Linked DNA regions of Solanum lycopersicum. The main gene of each other region encodes a partner of the protein of the gene in region 3 in a complex. Links are inferred from orthologs where the notes say so. Each region holds a gene or a part of one and is shown on either strand. Other genes may lie near its edges.

The links.
Region 1: THO complex subunit 1 (region 3) and THO complex subunit 3 share a complex: the UniProt entries of both Arabidopsis thaliana proteins name them as parts of the THO complex. The link is inferred for Solanum lycopersicum from reciprocal best matches to the Arabidopsis thaliana genes THO1 and TEX1.
Region 2: THO complex subunit 1 (region 3) and THO complex subunit 6 share a complex: the UniProt entries of both Arabidopsis thaliana proteins name them as parts of the THO complex. The link is inferred for Solanum lycopersicum from reciprocal best matches to the Arabidopsis thaliana genes THO1 and DWA1.
Region 4: THO complex subunit 1 (region 3) and THO complex subunit 2 share a complex: the UniProt entries of both Arabidopsis thaliana proteins name them as parts of the THO complex. The link is inferred for Solanum lycopersicum from reciprocal best matches to the Arabidopsis thaliana genes THO1 and THO2.
Region 5: THO complex subunit 1 (region 3) and THO complex subunit 5A share a complex: the UniProt entries of both Arabidopsis thaliana proteins name them as parts of the THO complex. The link is inferred for Solanum lycopersicum from reciprocal best matches to the Arabidopsis thaliana genes THO1 and THO5.

The regions. Positions count from the first base shown.
Region 1 is NC_090806.1:70,054,900-70,060,992, forward strand, and holds the start of THO complex subunit 3, read right to left. Parts: upstream 3,468-6,093; 5' UTR 3,351-3,467; coding exon 3,288-3,350; intron 3,147-3,287; coding exon 3,051-3,146; intron 897-3,050; coding exon 767-896; intron 193-766; coding exon 101-192; intron 1-100. Other genes in the region: KH domain-containing protein At5g56140, read left to right, coding at 5,929-6,035. UniProt on the Arabidopsis thaliana protein: Acts as a component of the THO subcomplex of the TREX complex which is thought to couple mRNA transcription, processing and nuclear export. Contributes to the integrity of the endogenous trans-acting small interfering RNA (ta-siRNA) pathway.
Region 2 is NC_090806.1:51,842,100-51,848,386, forward strand, and holds the start of THO complex subunit 6, read right to left. Parts: upstream 3,799-6,287; 5' UTR 3,511-3,798; coding exon 3,313-3,510; intron 3,212-3,312; coding exon 3,192-3,211; intron 3,107-3,191; coding exon 3,002-3,106; intron 2,454-3,001; coding exon 2,383-2,453; intron 1-2,382. UniProt on the Arabidopsis thaliana protein: Acts as a component of the THO subcomplex of the TREX complex which is thought to couple mRNA transcription, processing and nuclear export.
Region 3 is NC_090800.1:83,526,948-83,532,539, forward strand, and holds part of THO complex subunit 1, read right to left. Parts: intron 4,533-5,592; coding exon 4,460-4,532; intron 4,379-4,459; coding exon 4,313-4,378; intron 4,229-4,312; coding exon 4,182-4,228; intron 1,917-4,181; coding exon 1,845-1,916; intron 1,744-1,844; coding exon 1,618-1,743; intron 1,527-1,617; coding exon 1,461-1,526; intron 682-1,460; coding exon 640-681; intron 1-639. UniProt on the Arabidopsis thaliana protein: Acts as a component of the THO subcomplex of the TREX complex which is thought to couple mRNA transcription, processing and nuclear export. Contributes to the integrity of the endogenous trans-acting small interfering RNA (ta-siRNA) pathway.
Region 4 is NC_090804.1:20,378,440-20,384,608, forward strand, and holds the start of THO complex subunit 2, read right to left. Parts: upstream 3,564-6,169; 5' UTR 3,253-3,563; coding exon 3,118-3,252; intron 2,493-3,117; coding exon 2,367-2,492; intron 1-2,366. UniProt on the Arabidopsis thaliana protein: Acts as a component of the THO subcomplex of the TREX complex which is thought to couple mRNA transcription, processing and nuclear export.
Region 5 is NC_090803.1:65,320,728-65,327,081, reverse strand, and holds the start of THO complex subunit 5A, read right to left. Parts: upstream 3,451-6,354; 5' UTR 3,160-3,450; coding exon 2,950-3,159; intron 2,660-2,949; exon of another isoform or gene 2,474-2,659; intron 888-2,473; coding exon 597-887; intron 1-596. Other genes in the region: annexin D5, read right to left, coding at 4,464-4,667, 5,366-5,455, 5,529-5,744, 6,214-6,354. UniProt on the Arabidopsis thaliana protein: Acts as a component of the THO subcomplex of the TREX complex which is thought to couple mRNA transcription, processing and nuclear export.

The DNA.
Region 1 (6,093 bases), on a different chromosome or scaffold from region 3:
TGCACTCATTTTGACTACATACATATCTATAAGCAGCTAAGATAATAGAATATAGAAGTGCTTATTTTAGGAATTAATAAATGACAGAAATAATGAGTACCCTGTTCCCAACAGCTATATGTGTCCCATCAGGCTTGTAAGTGATATTGATATTTTCCCCACTGAGTTCAACTTGCTGTGAGCATTTCCCACCTGCCAAATGGAGACCAAAATGTTTTAGCATCTGCAACACCCTGACCAATAAATAAAAACATATGAATATCTTCAACTTCCTGGAAATTGACGGGAAACTAGGCTGTGAAAGTGTACGTAGAGTTTTTGATTAGTAGTTATAAAGAAGAAAGTGCATGTAGAGTTACCTAACTCATACCCAACCCCCCTGGGTTCCACTTTACATGACATACTTCTAAGCAGTCAAATAACCTTTTCTTTGACCAAAAATATTTTCATATTAGAATGTGTAATTTATAGTTTTCTTTTTTCCAGTTTCTAACTATATAAGATTGTTCTAGACATAAGAAACTGATGTATGAATTGAGACCGGAAATTAACAGGTTTGACCCACTTACGCTAGACCCCTCCAATTATTTTTGAAACAGGAGTAATATTGTTCTCGGATGATTACTTTATGGGAATAAATATAGTGCAAGTCCTCAAGTAACCAATAGACATAGGCTCTTATAGCATTACATTCTTTAAATTCCAACTCATTATTTCATACAGTACTTTGGCAGCTTATTGCTGGTGCAAAATAATATAAACTTACTACGGGCATCCCATAATCGAACTGTCTTGTCACCAGATGCTGTAGCTATCAATTCTGCATGTTTTGGATCCCAACATAACTGGTCCACACTGTCGGTGTGACCCTTTAATTCAACATCTTTTACCTTTCCCTGCAAAAGAGCTATCAGAGACTTGGAGTGTATGCAGACATAAGAGGTTCTATACTCCACCTCTCAAGAATGAGAAAAGACTAGAATATTGAAAACATAGATAGGGCGCAATCATTTTAGTGTAGTTTTATGGTGGCAAGCTATTAATTGTTCAGGTTTTTGCAAGCAAAGGCAAAATATACTACAATCTTCATGCAAGTTCCAAAGTTGAGGAACTTGGGATCTGTGACTATGAAACAAGATAAAAGTACATTTATAGTATTGATACAGAGCAACAGAAGCAAAATATCATTCAATCTTCATGCAAATTCCAAAGTTGAGGAACTTGGGATTTTTGCGACTATGAAACAAGATAAAAGTATGTTTATAGCCTTGATAAAGAGAAATGACAAATGATATAGAGTTATGGAGCACTCGATCTACTAACAAAGTAAAAATTTATCTGGTCTATGACCAAGTAAAAGATTTAATTGATAATAACAAGGCTATCTTGGTCATATAAAAGGAGTATACCACAAAAGGAGAAACCTACCAAACATGGTTCTCCAAAAGACACCTCAATCCTCTATACAAACAAAAATTACACCAAAAGAAAATAAGGGATCGGAGACTACTCCTCAATTGAGCAAAGCTAATCTCCAATTCTCCACCCTTTCAATAGCTCTCCTATTTCTCTCTTTCCAAATGACCCACATTACTGCAAGAGGAGTAACATTCACACCTTGTGTCTTCTTATCCTAACTCCACTCTTCCAACTGAACATCAACACTTCAACAGACATTTGGGATTGCCCAAGAAATATCAAACCATCTAAAGATATCCTACCATAACCTCGAGATGTTTTGCAATGTAGCAAAATATTGATCATGTCCTCTCCTGCCTCTTGACACAAGAAACAACAACTTATGCCCACCACCTTTCATTCCCTAAGATTCTTCACCGTCAATATCACCCCTTTAGTAGCTAACCACAAGAAGAAATACACCTTCTTCAGCACCTTAGGTGTCCATACCGAGTCATACAGAAAACTAACTTCCACCCTAACAGGAAGCTTTTATAGGACTTAATAGAGAACACTTTTTTATTCACCAACTCCCAACTCAAAGCATCAGGTCTATCTACTGGTTTGCATTGCTTATGGTATAAAACTAGAAAGCTTTGAAGATCGGTCATCTCCCAATTTCGGAAATCCCAGAAGGTCCCACCCCCTAATTTGCTGAACAGACAGCTCCCTTTGCCCAGAAATGCTATACAACACCAAGAAATCATTCTTTAACCAAATCACTGCACCACTTTTGACCCCCAAAAACTAGTCTCCTCCCAACCCCAAACTTAAAAGAAAATGTTTTTGTTAAAGGCTTCCCACCCCTTCATTATATTCTTCTACATGCCAAACTCGGAAGGTAACCACATTTGTTCTCCATCTTCCTTCCATAACTCCATATTTGTCCGCTATCACCCCTCCCATAAAGCTTCTTCCTCCATCTCGAATCTCCAAAGCCATTTATCCAAGAGGACTTTGTTAAAAACCTTCAAGTCTTTAACCCCAAGTCCTCACCACTGTTTAGGAGATGTCACGGTCTCCCGTCCCACTAGGTGAAACTTCTTTGTCCCATCCGCCGCATCCCAAATGTTCCTTTGCTACCTTTCCAGCTTTTCTATAACTCCACACCAAGTGCGTTGAGCTGGGACATGCGATATTTTACCATCCTGTACAACTCTGGAGCATTTCTGCATCTTTTTACCCATTCTCCCAATTCAAACCTCTCTGTGTATCTATAACATCGAATTCGTATGACCTCCCACAAGTGAGGTTACGCTTACTTTACCCCACCTTTGATAAGTAACAACAAAATTTAAACCTAACTGCAACAGGCATTACTATCATAGGTTCCTTAACTCATACCACATAGAACTAGACTTTGGCAGAAACAACTAAAGTGAGAGACCAGCTTCTTAACTCTAGAGAAAATCTCAGGTGCCTAAGTTCATGCATATATCATAAAAAGCTATCCTTTTTTCAGTTTATTTACAACACCCAGTTTCCCACCACTTCAGTAGAACATTTAAAAATCAGAGCAATAACAAAAAGCTATCCTTTTTTCAGCATTAAAACTTAACTGAAAACAAAAAAGATGAGCTCATGAAGCTTACATGACCATGAGGCTCAATTTGCCAAATACGAGCTGTTTGATCCACAGAACCTGAAGCTAATTTCGTGCCACTGCAGTTCCATGCCACCGAATGCACCTTTAATTTTTTTTAAAAAAACAGAGAAGATAAAGTATCACATAGTCAATTCATCTAATCAGAGAGTTCATAAAAAGGAAAAGCAAAATTAGGGTTGTATTGTTAACAATGAAGTGAAGGAATAGTTTTAGAGAGAGAAACCTTCTTCTTGTGTCCCTGGTACTCTCTGCTATGAAGATTTTTGAAGGGTATTGTTTCCGCCATTACTCTTCTGCTTGTTTGCTCCGTTTACTTCTCTGAATATTTTTTTTGCTTGTGTAGAAGACGAACAAAACGACACACAATATTGTCGTTTCATGCCAACCCTGTTTAGAAAATGATAGACTAGTCCTTTAAGTTTGAGAATGGTCTAAAATAGTCCTTTATACTGTCGAAATTGAGCATTTTTGGTAATTAACACATGGTCGCTAGTAGTTATTTTTGTTGAAACTGCCTCATGAGAAATAGGTGAGCCCTCTTTTAAACAGAAAAAAAAAATCATCTAAACGGGAATTTCAAGGTTTAAATTTAAACGAGTTACATATTTTGTGTTATAACAATGATCAAGAGCTAGAAGTGTTCAACTTTAATAAATTATTTTGGTGTATAACATTTAAGATCCATTGATTTACCGTAATTATAATTCTTTTGTTATAAAGAAACAATTCATATATTTTATAGAAATAATAATATAAATGGTGGAAATTAATCTTTGATATTTTTTTCATCTAATAATTGTGAAGGAATTAATCGTAGAAATATTTATTGTACATGTTTGTGTGTACTGGCATATATTTACTTTTTTAACAATATTTTATTTTTTCACAAGCATAAGTCAAAGTGTTCATCAAAATGATATCTTTTATATTATTTATTTATTTGGTCTATTAATTGAAAAATACATATAACAAAATATTAGTACCTATCAAATAATTGTCAAAACTGTACAATTATGACTTTTGAGCAAGACAACATTTTCAATAATTTTAAATTTAATTCAAAAGTTTGAACAAATAATACTTCTTATTTCCCACTTTTTCTGGAGATTAATTGATGTGATTGGGGATTAGATATAAAATAAAATAAGTAGCTTGCCCATCTATTCAAAAAAGCAATTTAAAGAATATAAGAAATATTAAAATAAAAAGGTTCAATCAACTTCCTAAATACGTGGAGAAAGTCCAATCTCATCCATTTAAGAGTACTATTAGAGATAATTCTACTTTTATTCCCTCAATTATTCATAATTTTAGTCATTGTGATATTTGATTAAGTATATTTAATTTGTAATGAATTAAAAGTGGGTTTTTTAGATTATATTTGAGTAATAATATAAAACTAGTATGATATTTTGATAGCGAATAATTTAACACAATTATTCATGATATGTTTCAAAGGACATATAATTGAAAAAATTAAATACTTCATGCAATTAATCGAAAATATTCATCAGTTTATTCAAATATTATAATTATAAAATAATTTTAAAAAAATTCATTAGTGTTAATCTTAAAGTTTTAGCTGAGCTATAGTCTCTTTTGACAGAATTCAAAGAAATTACAGTTAAAAATAAATTATTTTAGTTCTTAATTAAATATTTTAACTTTAAATTTAGATAAAATATTATACTAAAGAATACATTTTGTTACATAAATTTTATATAATATAAAAATAAACAAAAATATCAAACAAACAAAAAAAGAAATTATTAGCCACCTACCACAAAATCCACTAATTTAAGGTGTGAAGCACAAGGATGGTCTTTGGTGATACAGTAAAAAGTTGTTAACTTTTTCCATGTTGTCTTTTTTTTTTTTTCGGATAAATTTGAATTAGTTATATTAATAAATTTTGAACAATAAATTACTGAGGAAAATATCTCAAAATAGAGAACTATCTACATGGTAATTCATATATAATATATTTACTTTCATATTTTATACTAAATTTGTATGATTAAATTGCAAATCATCAATTTCTTAGAGGTTCTTTTGATTAATTTTTAAATATAATATACTTGGCAATAAATATAATTATAACATGACAAGTGATATAAATTTAATGTGTCACAATATATTTATTTTGTTAAATACAATATAACATGACGAGTGATATAGATCTGATATCTCATTTATGTGAAGATTATTGAATATCAAGTAGGTATATAAATCAATAATGAAAAATTTTATATATTTTTTAAAAATTAAAACTTTATCATTCATCTATTAAAAAAGTGAAACTATTTTGTGCTCGCATATAGAAACACATTTTTAAAATCATAGAGAATTGAGAAGAAAACAAGTTTAGTGTTGTCATTATACTCGACTTAAGTCAAATAATTTGATTAATCGATAATCTTTTTAATGTTAATTTTACAAATAATAGATTTTATATTTTTTTGTAAAATACCATTACTTCAATCAAATGTATATTATGGAAGAAATTAATACCTCAAAATCTTAAATATAATAAAAGGATTTAATTCTTTAAGAATGCACACGAAATTTTATGGCTTAGATAATTATTTAAGGTTTTTAGATTATTTTACATATTATAATTTACTATGTAGACTATAGGATATTTAGATGAAACTTTATTCTTAATATAATTTTTTTTGAATTAATTTAAATTAATCGAATTTTAATGCGGATATCGAATTCATTCCCTTATCCACCGACGATTATATTAAATCTACTAATAACAGGTCATTGCCAGTCCAAAAGAAGAAACAGAGGGACTCCTTTTTGGAAAGTGAAAAGTAGGTGAATCTGGCAGTCATCGGATTCTGTCGCCGCCGGTGAAGATGTCTTCCGGAAGATACATGGCCTACTCACCATCTCCGTCTGCTCCTCAGTCTCCTCATATCGCCGGACTTCGCTCTGCTTCCTCTGCCATCGCCGAGCAAGAGAAGTGCGTTTTTCCTTTTTCTCTAACAACTTTGATTTTTTTGTTTGAAGTCTTCGTCTTT
Region 2 (6,287 bases), on a different chromosome or scaffold from region 3:
CTTTATGGGTGGAAGATTGATATTGATAAACTTTGTGCTTGATGCACTTCCAACATATATGATGTCATGATTTCCTATCCCAACAGGAATAATCAATAGGTTGGATAGCATCAAGAGGAAATTTCTATGCCAAGGGAACAAAGACAAGAAGAGTTACCACCTAGTCAAATGGAAGGCAGTGATCAATGAGAAAAGATTCGGGGATTGGGGATCAAAAATCTGAAGAATCAGAGTAAAGCTTTAAGAATGAGATGGCTATGGAAATATTCAAATGAAAATCGAAGTCTTTGAGCTAGAGTCATTAAGCTAAATTGGATGACAAAGGGATCACTACTCCTTATGGTGTTAGCTTATGGAAATCTATCAGAATTTCGTGGAATGAATTCAAAGTTAATACCATAGTCAAAGTGGCAGATGGAGCTAAAATTGTCTTCTGGAAGGATGATTGGCATGAAGCAGGCAACATGGAGACATTATTCCTACATATTTATAACTTAGTTTTACATCAACACAGCACAATAGCAGAATTGTGGACACCTTAAGGGTGGAAATTTGTGTTCAGGATACACCTCAATGATTGGGAAATACCAAGAGTAGCAAAATTATTCAGCACCATTGACCAATTCAGTGGTTTGTAGGCTGGACAAGACATCCTACAGTGGCAGGGATATGTTAGGCTTTTTGTAATTAGCCTTCCAAGTCCCTCTATGTACGAATTTTTGGAGGTCACCAGCATGTCCTTAATGCTGAGGAATACAACATTACCGTTTTTCAAAAAAACTGGCTTGAATTGGATCCTTAAAATTTCTCTTAATGGAGGTTTAGATCCTGAATCAGTAGCAAAGAGCCAAATTGGTGAATGGAGTAATCTTGGCTGGAAATTTTATTTTTTTTTGAAGAAGGTAACTTGTATTATGAACAAAAGGAATACTCAGAAAAGTATTCCAGTATACTTGCAACAAAATTACAGAGGGAGAGGTGTCCCTACTAAGCTTCATAAATTCTAAAATACTAGGAATATCCTCTTCTTGAGGATATTTGTGTTACACCCAAAAAAAAAGGACTAGACAGTTCATCTTCAGTTTCTGCAGAGAGCGGCTCTTGTTTTCGAAACATCTCTGGTTCCTTTCCATCCATATAGTCCACCAAATGCAGGTTGGGACAATCTTCCATCTCTCCCCGTGTCCCGACTGATTCCCATGGAATTTTAGCTATAGGAGATTAGCAGATTTGCAGAATTCTATGACACACTTGCTCAATATACTGGAACCACCCTCCTCAGAGACATATTATGGTGGAAAAACCCACAACTCAGGTGAATTCTCAATCAAAACAGCAAACCACTAGCTGATTTATGGCAACAATATTAGTGACTTTTGGCCTTGGAAGCACAGATAGAAAGACTATGATTCCATATAAGGTGCCCTGCTTTGTATTGTAAAAAGGCTTGTTCGATACAGGATAAGCAACAAAGAATGCAACTACAGCTATGTTCTATCTGTCTTTTATATGGAAGAACTGCAGAAACAACTAATCATTTGTTCCTGCACTGCAGAGTAACCACCCAACTCTGGGATTTGTTTTGGGTTATGTAGGCTTGAGCAGGACTATGTCAGGGAGTTCAGTAGAGATGCTATCTAGCTGGAGAAGAAAAGGGAGCACCAAAGTTCAGAAAAGAAGATGGAGCATAATCCCAGGATGCATATGGAGGGATATTTAGAAGGAAAGACATTAAAGATGTTTTGATTTTGAATGCAAAAGAAACCCAATCCAAAAGATAAAGTTTAATTCTATTTTGCTATTTCATTTTTAATGTAAACAAGAATACATAGAAGACACTGAAACACTACTTCAAGTCCTAGAGTCTCTATAGTTTTCCTTTTTGCTAGAAGATATCTTCCTAGAATAGTAGCTTTTGCCTTCTAATACTCCTGTGAATACTGCTTCACAGCCCTTTTTGTGATCTAATATAAGTTGTTACCTTCATCAGAAAAAAAAAACATCAGCTGAACTGCTACAAGAGGGGCAGATTGAAAATCTGAAGTTGCTGAATTGACATTTTTAACTTCTAATCTGGTAAGCTGATGAAAGACACAAATACATATACATTGCATCCCCTGTTCTTTCCCCTCCTGAACTTACTTTCATAATGTGAGGACATTATAACAAGTTTGTCCGCCAAACAAATCATTCAGCTGCATCAGTTTCAATACAGCAAAAGTGTTGGATGCTAGAACTGGAAGCAAATCCAAGCAAAGGAGCTCAACATTTTTAAATGTTCATAAATAGGATGTTAGAATCCGTCATTCAACAACAATATAACTACACCTCAATCTCAAACTACTCAAGGATACATTACTGCACACACAAAAAAGATGTTACCTTGTGCTGATTCCGTAGATCCCAACATTTCTTTCCACTTCCATCCTCGAATCCGACCATCATCACCACAACTGCATGAAATTACATATATTAACAAAGAATTGGCACATGTGATAGAATAAATAACACTAACCGGTGAAATTAATAGGATTTATTTACTTTTATGTAATAAGTACCACAAGATAATTGCCTCTCTTGCTTACTTAATTGAAAAGAAAATTACTTCACATAGTTTCACAGCTCAATCATTAACTACAACTCTCTAAAACCTCCGTACGAAACAGTTTTACAACTTTTCTCTACTTGCCCTAACATATGAGCTAACTTGCACGGACTCTTCACTTTTGATGCCTCAACTGTGTCAGATTATTCAAAAATACACTACTTTTGGAGAATCCTTCGTCACGCACCCAATGACATTTTTGAAGAGTCCAAGCAATATAGCATATGAGCTCTAGTCAAGCTAAAAGTTCTTACCTGCATTTTAGATACTTGAAGTAACATTTTCCCATAATTTTGATTCTAAACAAAAGAAAAAAGTTGTAATATCTCCCATCTGTGCAAATTTACCTACAGCTTTATCAGTACAGAAAGATAGACGCAAATTCTGAAAAGCTACCTCAATAATAGTGAATCTTCATGGTTACCATAAAATTTAACATCATAAGCAGGTCCATCATGTCCTTGTACCAGCCAACTAGGTTCAGCTACTGGCACCAATGAACTAAACCAACATCACCAAATAAAATATCAATCCAAATAAAACCTGACCAGAACACTTCGAAAACATTGAGACAACAGAAACTCACTTGCCCGCTGAGTTCAATCCCTATCAATAAGAAAAAGGAATTAAATAGTAGCAATTAGTTTGTAGAGCAACCCCTATATTAACGTTCTTTCCTACTTTATAGACTGTAATATTGAGCTTACAAGGCAAGAAGAGATAGAGTAAGCCGCAATGGAGCCGTCGCTAATGGCGGCGACGATGAGGTCCGGATAGGAATTATGGTCCGGGTTCGGGGCAAATGCAGTCCGGAAGACCGTTCGACATTGAGATTCTCTCTCGAGTATAATGGAATCTCTGTATATGTCTTCTTCCCAGTTTCTGCAGTCCATGGCTGTCGCCATTGTTACCGTAATGTTTTGTGTGTAGTGAATCGAGATAATTGAGGGGATTTTGACAAAAAGTGTTTAGAAATTAAAATTGGTGACAAATTACTGATCCGAGTTAAAAAAAAAATTAATTAGAGATTAAGATAATTGGAATTTAAAATACAATATTTAAATTTTTTAAATTTTTAAAACACTTGAATAAACCCAATTCTCATTATCTTTCTTTTCTCTCAAGTTAACAGTGTATTTTGGGTACATTGTTGCGAACAACTCTATTGCTACGACTTTTCAATGCCTTCCTCTCAAGTTGCGAATTCAATTTATCTTTTTCGTCATCGTCGTCATCTACCCCTTAAGGTAATATTCTTTTCTTTCATAGCTAGGATTTTGAGATTGTAACGGTTGATGATTCATTGCATTGTTTTTGTATATAAATTTTTATATTACTTTTGAATTATAATTTTTTGCTATCATGGCAAATCCTCTTATCAAAACTCAAGCTAACGGAAGTAAAGTTTTTTTTTTTTTTTAAGACTCCAAACAAAATCAAATTGAAAATTTGAAATTTTAAACATGTCCTAACAAAAGTGAGAATTTTTATTTCCTCAAAGTCATTGATCTCAAGGGAATTGATTAAAGCAAAAGGGATAAAGTGAGGTGACATGAGACCATCAAGATGGATATATCTAGATCGGTTTTCCTTGAGAGAAAAATTGCAGACAACAAATACACAAAAATCCACAACTAAGAATCAAAATAAGAACAGATTCAAATATTTTTTTAAAGCTAGCAAAAAGTTATAATAAAATGGAGATTCCAATGAATACTAATACTAATACTAAGTAGGCGTTTGTTGATAATAGAAATTTTATGGATATTTTTGATTTAGCAAAATGATATCGATGGCATGTAACTAAATTTCTATTTAACTGCACTACATTATTATAACGGAAAGAGGAAAAAAAATGAAAATAAGAAATTGTTTTTTGACTCGGGATGAATCTTTAGTGATAGATGAAAAGAATAGTGATGGATTTTATACATTTTTTGGATATACAAAAATAGAAAATCACATTTACGATCTACATAATTTTCTTTATCCTTTACTTTTGAGATTTGATTTTCCTTGACAAAATAATTATTCATCTAATTATAACCTTACTTAATCTATACATGAATATGTATTAAGAAGTGAAATAAGTAAAGCAACATCAAATCTAAAAAATTAGCTTATCAATTTTGCATAAATTTAAAATCGCCATTGTTGATATGAATTGATAGTTTCATCTAGTTGAAAAAAATATATGGTGACTGATATAAGTATTGATGGGAGTAATAGTAAATAATTACAAAGCAATGAAAAATAAAATGAATCAATCAATATGAAATTTTGGATCTTAAGAAATTGACCCAAATTAAATAATGAAGAGGGTGGGTGAAGAGTGAAAAATAATATTTTAAAAAAGATTTGGAAAAGTAAAAAAATAATAATTATCTAACATGTCATCGATGTGACACTTAGGTGGAGCGCCTGCACTTCACCCATGTATATGAAACTGGTATTGTATATGTAAGGTGTTATTTAATTCACTTGCAAAAAGATTAGGGGGGCAAATAATTACCCGTAAAGTTAAAGTACTAAAACAAGTTTTGCTGCCAACTTCAGGATGGATTTTATGTATTTAGACTTAATAATAAATATAAGGATTTTGACTAATTTAAAAGGAAAATCTATATTGGATTGTAATTTTATTTGAATTTGCTACGAACAATAAGTAAATTGTTGTATTCATAACAATTGCTGAAATCCTCTACAACAATTAAATGAGTTGTTATATTTTTTTTATTGCAATTGCTGAAATTCTCTACAACAATTAAACGAATTGTTATAGTTTTTTACAAAAATTGCTCAAAATTTCTATAACAAGTACGAAAATTATTGTAGTTTTCATAGCAATTGCTGAAGTTTTCCACAAAAAGTAAGAAAGTTGTTGTACTTTATATAGAAATTACTAAATTTTCTTTAATAAGTAAGCAAATTAATTGGCTAATTCAATTGACAATACCACTCATATTTAATGAAAATTTGAGTAGTTTCATTTAATTTACGCTTACAATTTATATTACATAGTGATCTTATAAAATGATGTAATTATTTGAGATACCAGATGATCAATTCCATTACAATTTCACATATAATCAATTTATAATGCGTAATTAATTGTTTAATGATTGTAACACTCATATTTAATAATAAATAAAGCAGTGTTAATTTAATTTTAAAAAATAATTTATATTAGATATTGATCTTATATAATGAGATAGTTATTTGAGATATCAAACGATCAATTCCACTACAATTTCACATGTAATCAATTTATAATGAGTACATAATTATTTTTTTTGTAACACTCATATTTAATGATAAATAGTGTAGTGTTAATATAATTTTAAAATAAAATTTATATTAGATAGTGATCTTATATATTGAGAATTGAGATAGTTATTTGAGATACTGGACAATCAATTCCATTACAATTTCATATGTAATCAATTTATAATGAGTAAATTAATCAATTTATAATGAGTAAATGATTGTTTATTGGTTATAACACTCATATATAATGATAAATATAGTGATCTTTGACCCAATTACAAATAAAAATAAATTTGATAGTAATCTTACACAAATAAGCAAATTATTATACTTTTCATAGCAATTGTTATAATTCTCTGCATCAATTAAACGAATTGTTTTACAACAATTGTTTAAATTTCTACAACAAGCGTAA
Region 3 (5,592 bases):
AATAGCAATCCACCTAATGGTGGGTTCTACTTTCTCATTCTTCCACTTGAAAGAAAAAAAATATGTAGGAACAACAGGTTCCCGTTCAGGCAAAAGATAACACTTGCTAATGAGAATGAAGTAAAGAATAGAACAGGGAAAAGAACTTATGAAAGGACATGTAGCCCAGATATACGCAACATCAAAAATTACCATAAATAATACTCTTCATTATCCACAACATTGTATATTAAGAACATCAGTTATATCATCATGAATTCTGTTGCAACTTGCAACATTCTAGAAAAGAGCAGTCTAAAGATTGTAATAGAGAATCACTTCTGTTAACAGTTGCAAGGTTTCCTTCAGAGAACTTCTATCAGAACATAAGTTAAAGAGCAAAGGCCTCATTTATTCCCTGGTTTTCTTTTGGAAGGAGCATATAAAGATTAAAGAGTAGTCCTTCCGAACAGTTATGTGAAACAGTTTTACTTTCACGCCTAGGCAAACCCTTGCGCAAGTATCTCGATATGCATCAGTGTGTGTGCTATATTTTATATATACATATATATTCACAAAGGGAGAGCAATGGCAGGAATCAAGGACCACTAAAAAACTGATACGGCATGAAATGAAATAAACAACAAAGGCAATACCAACCATTGCTTCAGAGGGCAATTCCTTCTCACTTTTCCCTGGTGCCTGCATGATAACGAACAAGTAGAAGTTTGGACACTATTCAGTTGAAGTTTTAAAAAAGAAAAAGTATTTGCAAGTTGAGGTTGTGTTTTGTCATAAATTTCGCTTAAAACAACTTGAAGTTTTGTGAGCGGACCATTATTTAACTTGACATGCTTAAACAAGCTTTCAACTTCAAATTCCCTATTTCAAGGGGAAGTTGACATAATGGACAAAAACTAATGGTCAAACATGTAGGTCATAGCCAAATGACCCCATCATGACAAGAGACTAGATCAATAGGAGATCTTTCTAGATAAGTTACAAACCACGTAATCTACTGTTTCCTCTCTATCAGTTAACTACAAAGTTTTTCCTTCTCCTTCCCTCGGCTAACTTTACTCTCACAGCTTCCCTCAGCAAAACTCCAGCAGAGACAAAGTTTGGCACGTTTTGCACGTTTTCATTAGCTCTCTTCTCCAATGTTACACCACTCCGAAGACATTTAAGAATCCTACTGACACCGTATATTAGAGAATCTTCAACTTAATGATTATCAAACATTGGATTGTCATGATCCTGATCGAAATCAAAGATATGCACCTGAATTTGATGTTTTGATAATGTGAATTTCAAGTAGAAAAAACCTTCCAACTTTAGTTGAAGTTCAGTCAATAGTATTTTTGGAATTTGTAAAAAAAATAAATATATTTACTGAACTTCAACTAATGTTGGAAGGTGACATTACTACTAAAAGATCCACTTGCACTTTGAACTCAAACTAACAACATGCTTATCATTACCTTCAAATAGTCGAACAGAATGAGGCACTGAACCAGAACGTGGCGCCTGAAACTAGGATCTTTCAGCTGAGACAAAAAGAATGATCAGGAATATGCTATTGGGTTTGCTACTTTTTTGCTTAAAAAGAGCCTTCAAAATTGGGAAATGCTCCCATACCTCGAGACCCATAAGTTTACTGCTTGTAAGATATTTTATGTTGAAGGTTGCAGCATCATCCTCAAGGTTATGAGCATTTCCCTCTTCATCACTTAAAGGCTGAGCCTCGAAAGTGTTTAGAACAAGCTGCAAGACCCAAAGAATAATTGATCACACATTACATATGGTAAATGAAAAAAACAGCAACAGAAACATCACAAAGAATTTTAACAGACAAAGAGGTGTACCGTCAAACTGGATGTAAATTTGTGCCACTTGCCGGGAGCATTAATCAAGGATGGTGGATTGCAGAAGTATTCCTAAGTTAGCAAAGCTAAAAAAATTACTAAACAAGACAGGAAGCTGGGGGAAGCACATGCCCAGAGCTTATCAGAGATACTTCAAATGCAGTGATTCATACATAAATAAAGATTGTCTGAATTCAACAAGAGACGACCCCCTATCACCGTAATCTGATGTGCCACTCTTATTAATTATCAAACATGACTGCTTTAGAAGAGTATAGGGAGATAATTTCAAATTTAAGTTTGACAGTATCTCTTTGCTTACATCCGTTTCTTTTGGGGGTCGGGAATCAATTTTGACAGAATCAAAGAGCTAGAACATGGTTGTATCAGTTTCCTTTATATCTCCCCGTAACTTTAAGGAAATACTACATAAGGAAGGTTTTCTAGCTTATGCTTTGCTAAAAGCAACCTAACTCCTTGCTAAACAAACTTCTGGACACTAATAGTTACTGGATTTTAATGGGTTTCTCTTTGCCTTCTCTCACCCCACTTCGGCTCCACGAGTTTCTCTTTCACTTGATCCATAAATTGCTGTTCTTACCTCCTATTAGAAAGACAAATAAAAATGAAAAAAAACTACATAGAAATGTGTTCTCACATCTGTGAAGGAGACTATTCAAACTAAGCTACAGCTTTAACTTCTACGAATCGAAGGTCAATACACATAGGTAGTGGTAGAGACATCAAATAGGCACTTTATCAGGCCTTCATCTTCATCAGGAAACAGCTGATTCTAAGGGATGTACCTAACTGGGCTGCACTAGATTTAGAAAACAATACAACACAGATGACCAAGTACCCACTATTTGCATTGCGTGTGACGATAGAGGTCACTGGGTAGTCAATGCAGCATAAGTGTAAGATGGCTACTCATACCTCAAGCATGCTAGTGGAGGAATTTTACAACAAAAGTTAAAGTTCCCACTGCAAAGCATTTATAAGCCACTTGAAGGACCTAAATCACATATTCCTTTTTAATCTTGTATTCAAGGTAATGCAACCGCAAAACATGAAATTGAGAAGAAACGATTATGAAATGGCAAATGATAATGGACATATCCAAAGAGAACCTCCTTCAGATATTATGACAGAAGGAACTGAGAAAAGGGAATATGCAATTGAAACAGGGATTGCATCTACAGCACCAACAAATCAGAATTTAAAATAAGCCAATTGAAGTGATTAAATTATGTCCATAGAGTTCGTAACATTTTCTATAGCCATTTATAGTGATGATATCATTTCCACAGAGGACATGATTTGGTTACTAAGTCTTTTTATACTTCTTGAAAGATTCTTTCTTGGGGGGAGGGGTCGATTTTTAAAATATTTACCAATACCTATTAATAAAAGCAAATTTAATACGAAATAATCCATGAATCCACTAATCCACAATCAGAATTACCACTCTCACCAAATGGTGATAGTATGCTATAAAACCATGGCGCTATGCAATAGGTACAAATCTGCAACTTTGCTGCAGGATTTTAGTAGGTTGTTGTGCTACCCAGACATTGGTTTAGCTCAAATCACTTCTTCTCAAACTACAGCCAGCTTGTACGTACTTTTAACGCAAGATCAAGCCCTGAAGCCTAACTACATGCCAAATATGGCTATCTTTTGTCATTTCTAATTTACTTCATGTTGTAATATCATCATAAAACCCAAACTGCATTTTTGCAGTAATATCAACATCAAAGAAACCCTAACCTTCCAGTTCAGGTGCATTTGTTCTCTTTTACACAAATATTTTCCCCACCCGCCCCGGTCTATATATTTATATAACATAAAATATACATCCATTCTTTTATTTCCTTGTCTTCTATGTTTACTAACAATTCTTTGTCCCTCTGGTTTCTCACCAACAGTCTCATCTCTGAACTTCATCTATAGCATCAACTAGGATTTCAATGTTACAAAGACATCCTGATGACTTCATTTGTAATAAATATTGTGTTGCTGCTTTGGTGATAGAGGTTGCACCTCATGATTCAGTATGATAATCAACAGCAAAACTTGGAATGGATTCAAAGAAATGCTTTATTTTTATACATTTAGCGGTAAATTCTTTAGAAGTTATATCAGGACCTCCAGCTCCCACTAAAATTGTAAAAGAGCACTCTGTGACACTTCTTCAGAAGTAACGAGTATGAAAGCAACTGGGTAACCAGGAAATGCAGAAATAATCTCATGATGTTAGGTTTTTAAGGATGCTTATCTAACAGACTTTGCTAATCGAAAGTATTCCCCTAAAAGAACAAAACACCTGATACCAACCTGTAGACTCCAAAGTGTTCTATAAAAGTTGAAATCAATAGAAATACCTGAAACCAAACAAGTTGATGCACTGTTAGCATTAAAAAAGTGCAAAACCAAATCTGCAAGAAAGTGAAGGGAAAGATGCCTACCATCAGGAACTTCTGTCTCATACTTTGTCTCATTCGATGTATTGAAAACACCCTTTATATTTACAGCTGTAGGAATTTGAGCAAACAGATTAGCACCAATATACAAACAGGCGATCCAACCACATATAGAGAGAGAAAACTAAATACCAGAACGCTCAGATAAGGGGAAGAAGTGAGCTAGAAACATGATAATGCGCCCACAGAAAACAACATCATTTGCCTGCAATACAAGATGTTAAGCCAGGAAAATACTGGAACAGTTTGTTTACTAAGAGAGAAGATAACTGGTACCCAACAAGTATTGTTCAGGTTTTACCAGCCATGTAAAGGAATGAAATACAGCGAAATTTGAATTTAATTGACCCCTGATAGTTGAATTGGCTTGAATATAATAATATTTTTATTTCATGAAAATATAGATTGCCTAACATTAAAACATCACGTATCAAAAAGGTGATGCAAGCAACGACTACCAATGGGCTTTCGTCTCCATCTTTGAATCAAGGCACAAATATTTCTAACAATCACTTTCCAACCGTAGATGTGCAGGAAAAGTTCTCCAAATCTAACTAAACATTCTAGTTAACTGAAGTTCCAGATAGGTAGACAACGGCATCTATTCAGAGAGACTAAGAGACTAATAATGTGTCCTCTTTGTCGGCATTCCCCAACATTTACTCTGATTGCTTCAGTCGGCGACTCAAACTCTAAAAGAGAAATCTCTTGGTCACTATCTCTTCTATGACACTAGCCTCCAAGTTTTTTTTTGGGCCAGATTATAATCATGACTGGACAAGCCCCTCTTAATGTCCCCTCTACTTGCGAAATTAAACACTGGGCCTAGTGTTGCTAGCAGTTTTCCTATTTCAGCTTGAATTAAAAGTATGAGATAGGAAAGGAAAAGAAGTTGTCCAGTCTTTCAAGCCCTACCAAGTAAAGGGGAATGCACTATTAGAGTCTTTCTCCGAGTTTTTTGTTTTCAAGGAGTTGATTTTATTGGGTTCAATTCATCCTCATTACATGTATAAAAAAAGCAATTGGATTTATATTAATAGCACTGGTCCATTATGAGCATCCTTATTATTCCTATATATTACATCTTCATCAATAATGTCATTCTCCAGAAAGACAGGGCAAAACAAATAAACAGCACAAGACAAAAACAAATAAACAGCACAAGATAAAAACAAATAAACAGCACAAGACAGCACAATACTACATACATATCTCTTCTTTAGCTCTATAATGAACAAAACACCCCCACAAAAAAAAAGTTCCAT
Region 4 (6,169 bases), on a different chromosome or scaffold from region 3:
ATTACAATTCCATCTCCCAGGAGGGATAACTTATCCCAGTACTAATTGTTAATCCTGGGATAAGTCATCCCAACCTTTGCAACCATACAATGGATTAAAGGGCACTCAAAAATTATCCTGGGACGGAACCCTCTTATCCATCACACCAAAAGACCTCTTAAGTATTTTATATGCAAATGTTGAGGTGAAGATATGGACCACATCTCTACAATTAGCAACTCACTTGTGACGGGATGAGATGATTCTGAGTACAAAGGTCATGCACAATAGAGGAACTTATTCATTAGGCATAGCATAACATGTAGCCCCGCTAGCACCCATACGGATCTTTTGGAAGGAGAAAATTAGAATAGGCTTCGAAGGTACAGAGACCAACTATCGACATTGGAGGAACAGCCTCAGTTCTAGTTTCTTTTGGAGTGTAGTGACCTTATGGTATAGTTATAGCATATTGGGTGTCAATTGTAGAGATTCACACTATGTTGTAGATTCTCTACTTTCTTGTATACACCTATGGGAGATTTCTCCACCATTAATAAAATCATTTATCTTATCAAAGCTTGTACTCAAAACTATCAGTTTTAGCATTTTTTATCCATATCAGCATAAATAAGAGGATGTGATACACTCAATATAAGGATGAGGAAGTCAGTTAAACAAAAAACTACATAAATATATTAACAATTCATCACTAAGATAAATCTTCGTATTTACATCAAAAAGCAAAATCGAAAATGCATGTGTGGTTAACTATTTAGGGAGCCTATAATGATTTACAAGCTCAAATTAACACCAAAAGGAAAGGAAATATGTGCAACAGCATTTGACCAGCCGACTGAGTTATCAAACCCAAAAAGATCTACAAAATCAAACATGCACAATAGCAATTTAAATTCAATGATTTGGAACTAACTCAAACCAGAGAAATTCAGATCTTACGAATCTGATTGTTCTGGACTTCGCAACAGATTGGTTGTTTCTAATGTCCTATACACCGGCTTCTATTAGTACTATGGTCCCAAAGGGAAACTTAGTGCTCCTATATGTCCCTAGAGAGCTTATCTAGCTACTTGACTGTTGCAATTACAATTCCACTCACCTGCATCCTATTGTAACTCATACATATGTCCTGATAATGACCAAAGAAAACCTGAAAAACTACTCTTATTTTCCACCTGTACCTAGTGCCACTAATGCTAGTGATAACAACATATAGTCAAGTTTGACCTACTGAAATGAGATTTTTACAAGTCGATATTTGACTAAATATACTCATCCATTCATCAAATTAAGCTAATACTAAGAAATAGAATTCATAAAACTCCAACAAAGAAATTGATGTTTCAGGTTGCAGGTATATAAGCCAAAATCAAGGGTGTTTGTTTGATGTCCAGAGCAGCAAGTGAATGTAGCTTACAAAGATACCCTTGTATTTTCACATATTAAGAGACAATGTGGACTGGACAAGGATGGAATTTGTTCTTAAGGAGGAACCTTCAGAATGGGAGATTGACAAAGTGGCAGAATTTCAAAATTCAGTAGGCTCTTTCAGCAACCTCACTGAAAAGGAGGACTTATTAGTTTGGCAGAATGATGCCAAAGGTCAATTCTCAGTAAATTCAGTCTATAAGGAACTCAACAAGAATGCTGGACAGGAGATGGAATGGCCATGGAAGATCATCTGGAAACCAAAAGTACCCTACAGAGAAAACTGCTTCATGTGGCTATTAACAAAAGAAGCAGTTTTGACTCATCAAATCTAAAGAAAAGAGGCTCTCAGTTGGCTTCGAGATGTACTTTATGTGGAGAACATGCTAAGACAATTAACCATCTTTTTTGCATTGTACATAGACATAACAATTATGGAGAATGTTCATCTGTCTAAAGGAGATAAGATGGGTGAAACCAGGGAGCATTAAAGGAATCCTGAGCAGCTGGAATAGAGATGGCAATGCTTCTGACAAGGAGAAGAGATGGAAACTTGTCCCGGCATGTTTTTGGTGGACAATCTGGAAAAAGAGAAACAGTTGGAGTTCTGAAAATTGGCAGAATAGCTTACAGAAGATCAAGATGGACTGCTTAGCTCTTTTCTATTTTTTGTGTGAACAAGATATGTTAACTAGGACAGAAGATATCTTTGATGTGCTAGTTATAGGTAGCAGTTTAGATTAAGACTAATTTAGACTAAGACTTTTTTATTCTGTAACTTGTAAAACTTTTGAAGGGGAACTACACTTTTGTTGTAGTATACCTGTGGATATATAGACTAAAGTTACCAGTTTCAAAAAAAAAAAGTAAACAAATATGGACAGTAATTTCAGGATTAATAGTTGACAATAAGAAGAAAAGGGAATAGGAAAACTCACATCCTGAGCCAATTGGGTAACAATATCGGCCAAACTCGACCCTAGCTCCTCCTGAGATGCATAGTCCACAAACTCCACACACTCTAATGCCAATTTACATTTCTGAAACGGCAACTCACCTCGAACCTTGAACACCCAAAACAACCCAAAACAATCAATTCACAGACCTCAAAGCAACAAACCAATGAAAAGCGAAGCTAACAAAAATATCCTTTCAGGGATTTTTTTTTAGTTCTTTTACATGATCTAATCAGTATGTTGCTTTAAATTCAATAAATTTACAAACAGAAACAAGTGTTTTGCGGCAAATAACCAATTAACCACACCCAAAAGGATCAATAATTTACCAATTAGCTATTTATCGACTTTCCAAATAATCAAACATGTCAAAAAAAATCACCTTTCAGCAACTAACCAAGTATTTCAATAAATTGAATAAAGTTTTCAATCAATTATGTAATAATGCATTTTTAAATTCATCAAACTTATCAAAAATCACTTTTTTGCAGATAAACCAACTATTAGTTCAACAAATTGATTAAATTAGTAGTGAATTATCTATTAATCGGTTTTCTACATAATCAGACTTCTTTACAAAGATCACTATCTTAGCAAATAACAAACTAATATTTCAACAACGTGAATGGATTTAACTCAATTATATAATAATGGAAGTTCCAAATAATCCTAAGTATCTAAAACGGAACACAAATAGTTCAAAATTGAATATATAAATAAATAAAATGAATACCATAACCCAGCAGAGCTCATAAAGAAAGCGAAGAGTGGGAAGTGGTTGAGCGAATTTGAAGCTGGTGTTTCCATTTTTCAACTCTTTGATGGAGTGCTCTGTAAAGTACAAATACTCCAAAGGTGAAAGAGACATTTTTGTTGTCGAAGATGACAAACCCTACGACCTAGGGTTTTGGCACTTGCTTTTTAAGAATTAAGATAGAGAAACACCAAATCCTAATTTCGAAGATTTTCCATGGCGATATCAACTTCTTCTATTTTTAGGGTTTCGGAGCTTCAAGGAAAATAAATGCCCCTCTGCGACAAATTTCTGATCCTTCTTTTTTCTGGGTTTCTTTTTCTTATTTATTTTATAAGAAAGAATTATTTACTCGAGAAAATTGAATGAAAGGCGTCGAAGGGATGGTTTTGTTGGTGACACACTGACAAATAAAGGGTCAAATTAACATTTTTCAAAATTTTCTAATCTTATATAAAATATTAAAAAGAAATTACATTTTTCAACTACTTTAGTTATAAGATCTTATTTATTTTTATTAAGATTAAGAATTTGAACCTAAATATACATTTGGATATTAAGAATCACATTACGATCAAGGTATTAGAATCTGAATGCAAAAAATGAATTTTAAGATGTAGTTCTAGGTCTAAACACTGAATTATTAAGATTGGTTGTTTTCAATATCGACTATGTGCATAATTTATTTATTTATAAAATTATAAATTAAACATTATATCAATAAAATTTATAATCCAAACACAAGATAATTTTTCCAAAAAGTTGTTTCAAGAATAAGATTATAACCAATCGCAAAAAAAATGATTTATTTGTTTTCTCAAACAATTTTTTTCTCAAGAAATAATGATAACTTATTTCAAAGAAATTTTGGCAATAAACGAATTGTGACAAAAATATTTCTTCATAAATATCAATTCATCTAAGAATATTTTATATATTAACAATATTAATTAAATACTTGTAAAAGATTATGAAAACTTACTTATTCAAAAGAAAAATGGTATTCAATTGGAAAAGGAGAGGAAGAAATTTGAAATTTGAACAGAAGATAAGCAAGGAAGAATAGAATTTATTTATGAAAAGACATTTATTATTTTAATGGAGTCTGAAAAATATTAAGACTTTATTATAAATCTGATCTAATTAGACTCATTAAGACCCATTAAGAGATTTTTTTAAAGAAAAAATAAATAAACTTAATGAGCTGAATGTGAATGATTAAAATTCAAATCTAAAAAGCAAACATATTTAATAGACTGAATCTGAATGATTAAGATTAAGGCCTCTATTAAGTGCAAACAAATAAGGCCTAAATTTTTTTCTTCTTCTTTTTAACATGCTTATCTTCTAATTTTTTAGAAAATTCAACCCTCAGCAAATATTATAATTCTCTTCCTCCTCATCTTCGCTGTCACTTTCTCTTTCTAAACTAAAGGTCGTGTTCGACTTAAAACGGATAAGTCGTTTTCTTAAGAAAATTCGACCCTCAACAAATACTCTCATTCTCTTCCTCCTTATCTCCAGCTGTCACTTTCTCTTTCTGAACTGAAGGTCGTGTTTGACTTAAAACAGATAAGTCATTTTCTTAAGATATTACTACTTTCGAACAACACACTCTTGATATTAAGTTCTTTCTTGGGTTAATAAACAAGAAATCGTTCTATATATGTGAAAATTAAATAATGGTGTAATGATATTGATTATTTCTTATTTTTGAAAGAAAATCCACAAACCCAAAATAAACCCTATTTTTCAAGAAATATATATGCATTGTTGTAGTTCAGTGAAAAGTCATTTTTTGTTGCTTTTATTCTTCTTGTTGTGACCATTTTGTTCATATGATTGTAGAAATATAGTCTTGTTTAGTTGTCCAACATATATTTTATTTGTTGAAAAAATGTGTCATATGTTGCAACATATTGGTGATATGTTGATATATATTACAACATAGTTTTTATATGTTTGAACATGTCACATATGTGTTAGAGCAATAAAATGGCTTTAGTAACATGTTACTCATATATTGAAACAGAAGATTCATGTGTGTCAACAAAAGGTACATTTGTGGCAATAAATGTCCATCTCTGTCAAAATAAGTATAAATTGATACCCATTTTTATTTTATAATTAGTTGTAAATTCTCAGCTTTTTTTATTTATCTTATAGATAAAATGTCACAAGAAAGTTCACCAGCAGCTCAATCTTTTGCTAGTGTTGCATCCTTCTCGCAATAGATGAACGATGGCCTCTACAGATATCATATAAAAAAATAAAGTCATTTCAGCTATTATTAGAATTTCTTGATGTCCACTAAATAATTATATATAATGTTTACACAATTATAGAAGACAAAAATGATAACTACTTAGTCAATGGGTGGAAATTTGGATTCGAACAACTTGATTTTGTAGTTGCATTTTCAAAGAAGGACTGATTTACGAAATGTCCCAACCCAATAAGTGTTGGATTGATGAGGTAAATTCATCTCACTGTTTTAATTAACACATACTCATACATACAAATAAGTAATATAGAAATAGATTTTTGATGCATCTATGTGGATGTCATTGCGGAAGAAGTTGAAGCAACAAAGACATTCTAAATATCGATGTGCCATCACTAATTATTTTTTGTCATAACATAAATCGACAATGTCAATCTTGTTCTTGAATAATAGGATAAAATTGTTGACATTATCAAAGGGTTTAGTATACCCGTTGAACTGTCTTGGCACCTACAAATGAGGTTTATGTCCTGTAAATTGTAATGGGGAGTTTCACTGGGTCCTGATTGTCGTTGTATTGAAGAAATGGTGCACAAAGGTTTATGATTTGATGTCCTCATATAGGACGAACAGAAAATTGTTCACCAAGATTCAAAAGTTAACTATAATATTGTCAAAGTACCTTGAATCCAACTAATTTTCTAAGCAAAAAGACCAAACCATCCAATTAGTTGTTGAATCTTTCCAAGGCAAATCTTACTCAAACATATTATTGGTATTGCCCAACAAGCAAGCAATAGTTTGTAC
Region 5 (6,354 bases), on a different chromosome or scaffold from region 3:
CCATTGACGTACAAACCTCCATGTGACCTCAAACTTAGCGACATAAAAGAGTCAAGAGAAGCATAAAATTTGACCTCAACATTAGCCAATACTAAAATACCCAAGATTTTTTCGAGCTCATGCAATAACATGTTACAACCTCTACACATAACATATATTTTAAAAAAAAAGAACAGATAAGTACAATATGTGCAGAATCCACAGTCAAAAGCATCACTAAAGGGTAGCCAAACTGGGTATAGTTTCAGAGTATTTTTATTGATTGTAACAACATTGGGTATGAAACTTTCTTCACAACATCTACTTCTGGAACCAGTTTAGTAATTGAAATAAAGAAGATGATTATAATATTACCTTTAAAAAAAAAAAGAAAAAAAAAAGGAAAGATGATAGTACATAAAGACATAGAGTTTAAGAATAAAGATAAGAATTTGATTCACCAAGCAACATGAAACTTCTAACAACTCCGTTTCGCACAACATGCTGAGAAAGAACACTAGTAAACAATTACTAATGTGGAAATAGAAAGGAGTGCTCGCCAATTACTAGTGCGGAAATAGAAAGAAGTGCTCGCCAATTGCATTAAACTAGTTTACCTGGAATAGCTCAAAATTGAACCGCTTTAGCATCAAATTATGTGAGTTATCATTTGACAGAACAGTGTTTTTTATCTCCAAGGGTGCATCTCTAAAGAATTCTTCCTCGGGAACAAGTTCAATATCAGGATATTTTGACCTGAAATCTTTGCAGGCCTTTATAGCTTTCACATAATGACTTTTTTCATACATCAAGTTGTGGAGCTGCAGCGTGGTGAAGTCCACAGGAGCTTTTGCACGTTCAGTTTCCCCCTTCACACGATCCTCTTCGAGCAATATTGATCTATTTGCCTATGGGACGTTTAAGGTAGTGTGAAAAAGTCAGTCGAACATATTATAGATTTCCAGGCACAAATTACTTCCGTGCATAGATTTAATGGCACAATTATTTTGCTATTCCGCAATCCTAACGTTGGTTTATTAAAACAACTTAATAATGGTAAGATGAAATAAGAGAGCCCAAAACGTTCCACAAATTTCAAGGATTAGTACCTTACTCAAAGTGTGGAGCTCAAAAAATCAAATAAAAATATATGAATCTAAACTTTACATGGAATATGTCCAGCCTAACAATAATAACTGCAACCCTAAGAGACATTATATGAGCAATTTGCAGTGAAGCATGTTCAAGTTTGAGAAGTAAAGCAATCAAGCAATAATTTCATTCAATCAGAATTCGAGTTTAAACACAAGAAGATACAACCGACTCTCCAATATTAAGGGTACAGCCTAACAACTAGACCTAATCTTCGAGAAACAAATTGTCGGAATTCCTAAAGTAATAACACTCTCACAGGGCCATATATCTTCGTGTTGATCAACGCTGATTACAATATCGGGTACCCCAGTCATATATTTAATCTCGCCCAGATATGTTTGCAAGCGAGATAATTGTCTTTTCAACAAAGCTGCATCTCTTTCAGGAGACGGTTGAGTCTCCCTGTTTTTTGATCTATTCTCATGTCCCTGGACTTATAAAACTTGTTTTTATAGAGGGACAATTCGTCAACATACTGCCGAGCCATTTTTCATTAACATAATGACACCGGGCCCTTATTGCAGCCCACTCTACAGAATCAGCTGCTTATATTATTGTGATATAAGGCGCCATTTAAGGATTCCATTTCCTAGTACCATGACCAAAATGAAATAAATTGTTATGTCATAACATAGCTGTACCTAGACACAGTTTCATCCTATGGCTGAGTCTACAGGGGAAGCTAAAAACTAAAAATTTATTCTTGAGATGGGGACTCGTGTATATCCTGTTTGCATCTTCTGCAGCACTTTAGTCGAGACTGGAAGTCACCTATTTTTCAAGTGTCAGTTTACTAAAGATATATGGAGCGACATATGCAAATTGCAGAAAAGGATCAAGGCAATACTGGAGTGGGAACTTGAATGGAGTTGGATGCAACAAAATTTCAGAGGCGAAGATCCAAGGAAGATGATACTTAAAAGTAGTCTAACTATGGTGGTTTATGGTATATGGCCAGAAAGAAACAGACAGATTTTGCAAATCACATCCATGCACAAGGAGAAACTAGTACACTTAGATGAAGCTCTCTCTGAACACAAGAACTAGGAATAGTAGGATGTTGTTTAGATATGTAGAATCACTAAATGAGCAGTTAACTATATTTGCCATTTAGTTTGGTTTCTAGCAGATGAGATGAGAAAGGATTGAATTGGTTAATTCATATTTCATCCTAGCTTTGTAAAGAGTTCACTTGGTAGTTGGAAATTAATAAAATGTTTCTTTAATTGCCAAAAAGAGAAAGGAAGAAACGGAAGCACATGTATACAGTTCTTTTTGTTTGTTATGTACACGTAGATCAGAACTACTCAATAAATAAAATTGAGTTGAGATTACCAACCAGAGTGATCAAAGATAAACAATACTAACAGGTGTTTTGCAGGATGAAAATAGAATACAACGGAGAAAGGTCGCAGTTTCCTAAATCCGATTAATTAACTATGCATAGACTCCCTCCATGATAGTCCCAAATGAACTAGCGCCAGGGCAGCTGTACCTAAAAAGCACAGGTCTCCGGTAAATCTACCTACAAAGGTTTAGAGCAACTCTCAGTCTCTCACTGAGTATTGTAGCTGAGTCCATTGAATTACATCAACCAACATTCATAAGGATGATACATATATAAAAATTGAGTCTAGAGTACTAACAGCTCATACTTAAACTTAAACTCATCTTCGTTTGACTGGTCTAATCACTTCGTTAACAACAAAATGCTACCTCTACTTCAAAATCGGATTGACGAGCGGATTATTTAATTGGAAACTGGACTCATAGAACTTTAAAAAGGAACAATTGGAGATGCAATGAAATATTAACCTGACGGAGAGAGACGAAGTTGATGAAAATCTGAGTGACAAGTTCGCGAATTTCAGATTTCGGCGTGCTTTCTTTCTTCATAGAAAGCATTTTCGAGACGATTTCCTCTACTGAAGCTTTGCTTTGCTGCAGAACCTCGTGCGGCGACCTTTCCGGCTTGTGCTCCGGCAGTATCTCACCGGGTTCCCCCATGGTTACGTCCATTTTCATCTTTACTCAGTCGCTGCCTACAGGTTTAAGTGGTACATTAAGCTTCTGGATGTGTACGTTACTAGGGTTTGATCCGTTTACTCTTGCTCGAGCGAGCGCTTCGGTCTTCCCTTCTTATTGCTTCCTTCTTTTTTCTCCTTTTTTAAGCATTAATTTCCATAATTTAAAAGGAAAAAAAATTAGGCAAAAGATTTTTTTAAAAAGAGATATGTTTTTGTTTCAAGATGTTCTTGTATTACTCAAAAATTATTTTCTATGTGATACATTGTTTACTCGTTTAGAAAATACAAATACAAATTTAGTAAATTCCTTCCTTTAATATTTTATTTTTTAATTAATCAAAAATTTTTGAAAAATTGTTGGGAAATTTGATAGTCCGTCATAACTTCCGACAAGCAAATAAAGTAGCGAGCGCTCTAAAAATAATAATAACAACAATAATAGTTTGACTTCAAAATTTTAATACTACTTTTAATGTGATCATTTACCATTAGACACAATTATATTTTCAAACCACTTCCTTTTTTTCTTCATTTGTTTAATTGTATAAAACATACTTAATACCCTTAAAATGAGATATATGAAGCAAATCATCACCCTATAATAAAAGAGCAATCTATGTAGCATTTAAAATTGAATAGGAAAACAAATTTTCTTCAACTACTTATTATTGTCCATTCTTTTAATATTTGTGGCTCTCGAGAGTTTTTTTAAAGGAATGATTGGTCAAAGTTACGTGATAGTCTATAAATATTATTGCCTACCCAACACAGTCATACACAGTCAAAATTTACTAAACGCGATTACAATGAGATGAATAAAATTATGACATGGTTGAGAGATGTTAAAGTTGACTTTCTAACTCATACGTAAAAAAATCTCAATTGGACCATCATAATCAGTGAACAAAGTATAAACTTAATTTTTCAACAATATAAAATACTGACCGCACAAACAACAAATCTATTAAAGTGAGGGCAGGAAATAACGGATGTTGCAAAATATTTTTCAAAAAATTTAACCAACCAAACATGAGAAATTTAGGTGGGAAAAAATATATTTTCCTCCGGTACCAAACATACCCAAATAAGTGTACATCTGAAAGCACCTTCACAACACCATTCACACTTAGCATTCGACTAAACTAAAAAAGGTATCCAACTGATCATGGACAGACATTGTTCCAAATCAACTACTCAGCAAATAAGCAAACAATAATTAGCATACAATAGAAACTGCTTACACACTAGTTTCAACACTAATACCACACTAATAACACCTGTTGCATGGCGTAGACTCTTGATTCAGTGACCAGGCCCCAGAAGAGATAGAAGAAAGGTCCGATAATCACCAGAAGTCTCCGAATGAACAGCATCATTAAGAGATTTCTTATACTTTTTCTGGTACTCTGCTTTTATATACTGCATATCAATCTCAGTTCGCGTGACTATTATCCTTATGAGAGTTGTATCATTCGTCCCCAAGCCCTTCATTGCCTTGTGTAACTCCTGAATCCATTTAACATATGTAAGGTGCAGTACAGCCACAGAGTTTATACAATTTATTCATGTAAGAATTAGCATAGCTTACTAAATCTAAGACAAAAATGATAACACAGATTATAGCAAAGTACTAGAGATTATTCTGAAGCCCCCAATGAAGGATGCTATAGTAAAAACATGAAAATCTTTAGAATCCCATTCCATGTCAAACTTGAGATATAGAGACAACAAGAATAAGAAGAATTTATTACTGCCTTGGATCCTTGAGGAAGTCATTTTCAACTAATTAGAGGAAAATGTGATCCTTACCAAAATGTTCTCTCAAATATGAGCAACGAAACATGAGAAAAATGGAAAACAATACGTGGATAATGTTTTCCTTCGTACCAAACACACTAGATACAAATGCCAAATACGTATATAGACCAATTTAATAGGTAAGTGTTATAAGTCTGACTTTAAAGTTAAGTTGGTTCATCTAAGTCAAGGAAGGTAAAGAGAAAATAACACAAGTAAACAACACCCATATTACCAACCACAAACTCAACCCTCGCATTAGAATAAAGAATGAAAAAGGGGTCAATATCATTTCAGAAAAAGAAAGAGCTAGTCAGAAACATGAGTTCAAGAATATATTAATATTATAGGCAAAATGGTCATCATGATTATGACTTGATAAGAATTTAAACAAATGTAACTTGTACCTTTGCAAAGTATATTGCTGGATTCTCAGCACATTGCAAAATAGTCAAGAGAGCAAACTCAAAGAGTCCAGAGGTTTCACTTTTTACAGCCTGTAACAATTGCAATACACTGGTTAACTACAATTGGAAATTTGAATAAGTTTCTCAAATGAAGTCAGCTTACCTTTTTTAACTTCCTGGAATACATGCTGTGATAAGCAGAACTAACAGCAGCCAAGTGTGCCCTACTTCTTTCAGAGAAAATTCGTATAAAAGTCTTCTCATCAGTTCCCAGTTTCTTCTCCCCAGCTTTGTAAAGAGCTTTAGCATCATGATCAACCGAAGCTCTGTCAACTTCTGGGCCTTCATAGCGAATTGTGCTTACATATGCTAGAAGCAACTGTAGTGATAAAGAGACAATAATATGTCAATATCTTTCATTCATAAGATTCAAGCAATACGTGTAATTAGCTGTATGAATTTTAGAGATCAAACAAGCTAGACTCCCATTTGGATAAAGCAAGACTCAAACCATACTAGACTCAGTTAGGGCCAGACAAATGCAACTCAGTTCCATTCAAAGGACGCATAAGTGCCCAGTGCACAAAGGGTAAATGATATAAATACAAAACTTATTTGAGAGTCCTTCACTTTCCTTCCCCTCATCTTTCTCAAAGACGATAACTTCACAAATAAAGTTCCACAAACTACTATTACCCATTTACTTACTTTTAGGCAAGGTTATGGTTAGGTTATCTAGAGCTGTTTTATGTTCTCTTCTTTCATGTACTTGTAGTCATCATTTAAAAGTGACTAAAGAACTCAAGAGAAAAAAAGGATTATTTCATACAAATGCAAAGGGTGACTACCTTTTTGTGATCACCAGATGCGTGAAGCTCAATATCATGCTCAAGGTAGATTCCATTCATGGAATGGTAAAGTTGTTTGAAATGTACTATTTGAGAAGGAGTCCGTGAACATATCACTTCAGTGGCAGCTCTGAGATCAAT